Oryzias latipes: one gene and its partner. The protein of the gene in region 1 purifies or fractionates together with the protein of each later gene. This does not show direct contact. Links are inferred from orthologs where the notes say so. Each region holds a gene or a part of one and is shown on either strand. Other genes may lie near its edges.

Region 1 (2,835 bases):
AAGGCCGCCGCGTCATCCCCCGCGTCACCAGCACCATGAAAGCCGAAGCGCACAAAAAAGCTGAGCTGAAGAAAGGAGAAGGCCGGAGGGGAAAGAAAGTCAAGGTCAGCTGATGCTAACATAGCTTAGAATGATGGGAAATGCAGTCCAAACTTCAGTTTCTCCTCTTCTGTCGATGCAGAGTGAAGATGTTGTGGTGAAGATGGAGTTTGGCGAAGAATGTGAGAACCTGGAGCAGATCGAGGAAACTGGTCTGGCTGCACGACTGGGCAAGAAAACCAAAACCCAGACTAAAAGAGGTATTTAAAAAAAAACAGTTGTTTTGGTCAGAAAAGGTTGATTAAAAAGCAGGAAACTTAAACCAAAACAGCATCATTTTTCTCTTATTCTCATTCTCATGTAGTAAGACGCTCTCTATATATAATTTCGAAGCAAATATTTTGAAATTTATAACTTTTATCTGGAAAATACAACTGAAACAAAAGTTTTTTTCCTTTAACAATATCTATTTTAATAATGGGATGTATCTGCGCTTTTCTAGATTCTCAAAGCGCTGACAATGTGCCCATTATTCATTCACTCCTCATTTATTCTTGATGGTAACTACTGATGTAGCCACAGCTGCCCGGGGGCAGACTGACAGAGGCGTGGCTGCCAGTTGGTGCCTCCGGCCCCCTTATCCCCGCTCCAATATCTGATACCTGTAACCTGTGTTAGACAAACATTGTGGTTTTGTGATGTAACTGGAACTTAGTGGCCTGAGTCACACAGTTATGAGGAAGCACTTTCACCACAGAAATGTGATTAAACTCAATAACATGGGGCATGCATGCCACTGTTGGCACACGGAGGATCACTCCTTCATGTGGACATCCCTGATGTTACGCCTTTTTATTTTTTTTACTTTTTTTTGCAGAATCAGTTTTTCCTTACCCAGAAGGAGGGTCAAAGGGCAGGGATGCCCACTTTAGCATAGTCTGTTTAGTTCAGTTTAGCCATTATTGAATTCTATGACTTCATGTTCCTTATGATTTCATATAAATACTGCCACTTTTCCTAGTCAGCCTTCATGAATGGATGATTTATATTACTGGGAAAAGGTGTTGTTCCCCCCGGTGACCTGCATTTTTGTAAAATGTTGCAGGTGAGATGAGGGTTTTGGTGACAAAAGGAAAAATCTGAGCGAACGGGATCTGCGAGCTGCACAGGTTCAGGACTGCACAGAATAAGAACCAAGCGAGTTCCGATTAAACCGTGACTTTCTTTCTGTTCTGCCAAATGTTCAAATGAAATGTAAACATGTTTTTTAAGCTGATGGCAACTCCAAAAAAGAAAAAGAAATCATGCTGTCCATTTGCAGAGAATGCATATTACTATAATCAGCAAACTAATTTTACAAGCACTAAAAGCACCATGACAGTATGAACTTGCATGAAGTAGGGGTGGCCGTGGTAGGGCGGTCGACCCCTGACCGGAATATTGCAGGTTCGATTCCTGTTTTGCCATGTGTCGAAGCGTCCCCTGACAAAACGCTGAACCCCATAAACGCCCTGGTGGAAAGTTGGCGCCAGTTTTCGGCAGCTGAGCCGCCATTATAAACCAAAATCAGATTTTTTGAGTAAAGTTTGTTTTTTATTCATTGTGCAATATTTTTATGAAAGCGCTTTTTTGAGTCGATGACAAAATCTGCTTTAAAAACCTATTTCACTCCCTGAAAATAAAATAACAAATATTTTTAATAAAATAACATTTTAGATCTATTGGAAAAGTTCTACTTGGCACAGATGTTCAGGAGAACATTTGGAATTGTCACCGTGTGCCCAAAAACTTTCCTGACCGCTATAATCCTACGCTCACATTTAGATAAGCACAAAAAAGTATTTGCCAGGACTAAATAGCTTTTCTGCTTGTTTGTCAGACAAAGGAATCATTACTCAGATTATTTTTATTTTTCCACTGCAAAAAGAGGTACGGTAGGCTAAAAATAAGAAAATCCTATTTAATATTCATAAAGGGTAACGCAATCTAGAGATGAGTGTTCAAAAATGAAAAAAGAAGCTAATTTTTAGATACAGGGTTCATACGGTCAAGAAAACCTGAAAAGTTTCTAAGAAGCGACATCTTCTCTAAAGTTTTGGAAAAAGTCATGAAATCTTGATTCTTTGGATGCAAAATTTAGCGGAAATGACTCATTTTAGAACAAAATGTCAACAAAAAAAAGAATACAAAGTTGGTATTTCTTGATAATCTCATAAAATCCAAAACCATCACTTATTTTTACAACATAAATCTACATTTTGATTTCTAAAATCATGACAATGAATGCCAGTCCAACTATATTAACCTTTAAAATAACATCCTTCACACTGAATCAGTGCAATTTGAAGTTCTTTGAGTCTCAAATCAAGTTTATGTCAAGATTATGAAGACAAAGCATTTAGTCATCTTAATAATAACTTTCTTGATTATAGATCCTAGATCTAAATGAAACAAAAGAAGCTTTGAGAAAAGCTTATAGACATGCAGAGCAAAGAGAAGTTAAAACAACTTCCAACCTGATCAAAAGTCTTGAACGTTTAAAAACGAGGTTTGAAATCTTTGCAGGGATTGAATGAATGGATGGAGGCCACCTCAACTACTAATGAACAGAGTGAATGGGTTTTCTTGATGCGTTTTAACAAAAAATCATGTCGACTAACATTTTCATGTGTAACTGGCGATTTATTAGGAAGTTTGAAGAGACGTTTTTTCTTCCAGCTCTTTCCAGCAAAGGGAAGCAAACCACTCTTCAGTTCTCGACCGTCTCTAAGAAGCCAAAGAAGAATCCGTGGTCGG
Region 2 (4,256 bases), on another chromosome or scaffold:
AAAGTTTGAATATTATGGGTAACAAAACAGAGTCAGCTAATTTAAATCATGGTAAACGACAACAACTAAAATCATTTCAGAGCATCCTCTTTCTCATTCAAGTGACATAAAAGAACCGGCAAGCCATCTCAACTACAGGACTCTTTCAGTAAATAATTGATGACGTTTATTTAAAGGTTTTAGATTAAAATATAAAACCTCCCTAAAAGACCTGTCACAGGGCTCTATCATGCTTTATAGTTTATTTTAGTTACTAGTATAGTGAATTGTTCATGCTTTTGGCATGGTCTTACACAGACTGGATATTTTAAATGTTCCGTGTTTTATTTTGAAATCGAGTTGCGTCAAACGGAAACAGCTAAAATAATGTCAGCAGTGATCGAAACGACAATCACTGTGATGAGCAGAAATACTTAACAATAAATCTAAAGGGTTTTTCTTACAATTTTATGGCTAAAACTATCTTGGGGAAAAAAGCTAAATCCCCTACATTACTTTTTAATAACATATGCGCACTGCGCACACACAGTACCCAAAAATAGAAATGCATTCTTAAGTTAAAGTCAAGAATAGTTAAGGGTTAAAAGGAATCAAAACATGGCAATAATGACACCTGAAAGCAATGACAATAAGTTCCCCCTACCTCTGATCGAAAATGATGCGTTCTCAGACCAACTATAGGAGAGACAGCATATGTTAAACTGGGATTAAACATAATGACATTTTGAACCATGAAATATCGTGTCTTCAAACACAATCATGATTTATTCATTTGGCAGCCTCAAGCTGCAGATGTCAAATAGCATTTAAATGGGCTGTCAGTCAATTTAAATCAGAGGGAAACGCAGGAGAAGCGGCTGGCCTGCGCCACGACTCACCGCGACTCCTGGAGCGCCCGCCGGAAAGAACCGATTTTATTGGATGCTTCCCATCGCGAAGCCTCCGATGCCAGCAGCAGAAAAACAAAATAGTCGCAATAGTCCCAATTAAAAGCAGCAGCAAGAGCAGCACATACTGGATACTGTACGGCCTGAGCAGCACCAAAAACGCCGCAGCGATCATCATAGGGTGTAGATATGGAACAGATCCTCTGCTGCACCACTTAGAGCTCCAGATGAGGATGAAGAGGCTCGCTGACACACTTGAAGCATCACACAGCCAAAGACGTGGAGCGTCCAGAGTCAAAAAGGACAACCCAGACCACTGATAGCACTATTGTGAGGTACAATGCATGACTCAGCACAGACGCACGTTCCCTTATTTATTTATTTATTTCACCGAGGGCAAAGGAGAGTCAGCAGATTTATCCCAGCCTGCATCGCAGTAATCTGCTGCCCGGTCTCTCTTCCCTGCAATAGGAAAGAAATGGCTGCAGGAGGTGCGTCTAGATCTGCAATTACTAATGGTTTTACAGCCCCCACCTCACTAATGTGCTTAGTGGGAGATGTGATTTTTATTTATTTAAAAAAGATGTCTTTATTGTTTTTATAAAAGGAAATCATTTTTATATTTCAAGTAAGAAATGGGGACAAAAAATAGTCAGATTTGTGAAAATCATTCAAATTGTTCAACAATACTATAGAAAAATTAAAAATAAATACAATGCTTGCAAAACGTACCAATCAATTCCAAAAACTCGAAGAAAGAACAACTATCTCATTTATTTTACCGTTTAATGAACATTAACTCCAACAACGGGGTCATAAATAGATCATGCGTTAATCATTCCGTCCGTAAAAGCTAGGACACGGGGGGTGGGGTGCTCTGATATTCGTTTCAGTCGGAAAATGTAAAGGAACCCCGCCCGTCTGGCCAAAGCACGTACAAAACAAGCGCGTCTTCTCCCGTGACGTAGTAGACCAGACTAGCTGCTGCATTCACTAACATTTGGGACGTTGAAGAAAGCTTGACCCAACGACGGCAAGAGAAGTCAGCAAGAAGAGGAGTTGGTAAAAAAAAAAAGAAAAGTGATTAAATTGTTTTATTTTTTATTTAAGCTTTCACTTGTCGTAGTTTCTGGTGTGTCGATTGCATACCACTCAACTGAAGTGAAACAAACATCTGACAGCTAAACCAATGTTAGCTTAGTGGTGATCGACATGCATGGCGGGCTATTAGCTTGCTGTTTTGTGTTTTTTAAAGTTTCTAATAAACTTATTATTCAGCCTGTGTTTAATCTTCGACGGAACCTTGAGCTAGGTTGACTGGCCTAATGATAATTTAACCTTTACGTAATTTTCGTGCAAAATTGCAACGATACAGTCGACAAACAGTGTCTGAAAATTAATTTTACACATGGGAAATCCAGTCCTTGAATGCAACATTTTGGCGCTTTCGTTCTTCTTCTGTCTTCCATGAGGCAGCTCTTAACCCAATAATGCCACCACTGGTTTAAATGTGTACTGCAATACCTTTCTAAATGATAGCCTTTATTAAAACATTGTATGGCTTCATGGAGACAAATATATCGCTTCTCTTTAAACTTGTGGGCTGCAATTTAATGTTTGCTGCGTCATTCAAACTTAGCATTTATATTGAATATGCATGTTTAAAGTTAGCTGCAGATTCCAGGTGCATCATGTTTTTCTTTTTTCCCCCAGAAACAATGGCTTCTCCAAATCAAGCACAGGAAGATGAGGTGGAAGAAGTGGAGTTTGTCTCAGTAAGTGACATTTACACACATTTCTAGTTTACATAACAGACAATAACAATAAAGTTTTAATTATTTGTGTTTCCAATTCAAGCGACTAAATTTAAAAGTAAAATAAATAAATAAATAAATGTTTGCAGAAATGGAAAAAACTTATTGGCTACTTGGAATTTGGAGTGTGATGGCCCTGATAATGATACATCGCACTACATTTCAATGCATTTCGACTAAATTGATCATAAACTGTATGATGCAGCAACAAATTTTTACCCATTTGAGATATCAATGATAGAAAGATGTCTCTGTATGCTAATAAAAACCTTTTATTTTAATACTAAAGTATGAAGTTCCGTTACCTCCTGGCTTTAGGTTGCAAAGGTTGGATCTCAATAGTACTTTAATGCTTTATCCATGCTCAGAATTCAAACTAATCATAATCTGGACTATGATGTTTGAATACAGTCTGATGCATTGCTTTTTATGTCCTTCAGGAGGGGCCTCTTAGACCAGTATTAGATTGCATTGATCTGTTGAGCGATAGTGATGAAGAGGGATGTTCATCACTGCCAGTCTTGGTTTGTGATTAAACATATTGTCTGCTTCATAAAAGAAGTATCTTTCACAAGGATCTTCATTCTTTTACAAAATCCTCTTTTTTTCTTTTCTTTCATTGATAGACTGAGGACAAAATTAGCCAGCACAAAGCGCACGTCACATCTACGCTGGACAGACTGGCTCACCAGGTGGCTTTGGAGAAAAAGGAGAGAGCAAAGAAATGTAGAGCATTCAAGGTATTGAACGTTATTATCTTTTCTCTTTCTTGTTTATTTAAGCTTAATTTCTTGAAAGCAAAATTTGGTCAACAGCAAAACACATTTCTGTTTGTAATTTTTCTACACATTAGTTCACCTAGAAACAGTGAATCTGGTTATGTTTGCAACAGAGCCCCCTGGTGGTGTGAAACCAGACTTTTTAGAATGAACAGGTTTAGTCATTTCAATATCAAAGTGTTGAAATTACCATGGGCTTCATTTCCTGAAGGTCTTTGTTTTTTCTTCTTTTAGGAGAAGCAGATTTTACAAAAAGCTCACGGACAGCAGGAGCTGGCTGTGAGTTCTGCCAACCGAGTTAATCAAGACGCAAGGCGCTGCGTGGAAATGTGGCTGAAAATGCCAGGTGACATCTATGTTTTTGTCTTTCTTTAGTGTAAATTAAATTTAAAGATAAATCAGTCTTGTAGATGACAGATTCATGGTTTCTGAAAGATGTGTCTGTTCCTTCAGGTGTTAAACCCGGGCTGATCAGTGCTGGTTCAGGTAGAAGACCCCCCTCCTCTTCCTTCCCAAAGAACAGCTTGACAAGACAGACGTGTCCTGTGATCAACTGTGGGCGTGTCTATGACAACGCTTCGCTGCTTGACGGACATTTAAAAAGGTCAACGAGTTGTGCTTGTGCTGCTGTTGATTTGCAGAGACTGGTGCATTCTAATCCAACCCTGGCTGAGTAAAGCTGTGTGTGCAGGTTTGACCATTCTCCATGTGACCCAGAGATCAGCCTCAGAGGAAGTCCATTCGAGCAGTTCGCCTGTGTGGCGTGCAGTCAACAT

Evidence for each region.
Region 2: the proteins of top2a (region 1) and znf451 purify together in Homo sapiens (affinity purification with mass spectrometry; 3 studies listed by BioGRID and IntAct, with this or other methods). This does not show direct contact. The link is inferred for Oryzias latipes from reciprocal best matches to the Homo sapiens genes TOP2A and ZNF451.

Annotation. Positions count from the first base shown.
Region 1 is NC_019877.2:4,658,153-4,660,987, reverse strand, and holds part of top2a (DNA topoisomerase 2-alpha), read left to right. Parts: coding exon 1-104; intron 105-181; coding exon 182-299; intron 300-2,757; coding exon 2,758-2,835. UniProt on the Homo sapiens protein: Key decatenating enzyme that alters DNA topology by binding to two double-stranded DNA molecules, generating a double-stranded break in one of the strands, passing the intact strand through the broken strand, and religating the broken strand.
Region 2 is NC_019873.2:24,421,994-24,426,249, forward strand, and holds the start of znf451 (E3 SUMO-protein ligase ZNF451), read left to right. Parts: upstream 1-1,275; 5' UTR 1,276-1,365; coding exon 1,366-1,378; intron 1,379-1,842; exon of another isoform or gene 1,843-1,967; intron 1,968-2,600; coding exon 2,601-2,662; intron 2,663-3,141; coding exon 3,142-3,225; intron 3,226-3,327; coding exon 3,328-3,441; intron 3,442-3,714; coding exon 3,715-3,826; intron 3,827-3,933; coding exon 3,934-4,084; intron 4,085-4,171; coding exon 4,172-4,256. Other genes in the region: dst (dystonin), read right to left, coding at 644-675, 879-1,065. UniProt on the Homo sapiens protein: E3 SUMO-protein ligase; has a preference for SUMO2 and SUMO3 and facilitates UBE2I/UBC9-mediated sumoylation of target proteins. Plays a role in protein SUMO2 modification in response to stress caused by DNA damage and by proteasome inhibitors (in vitro).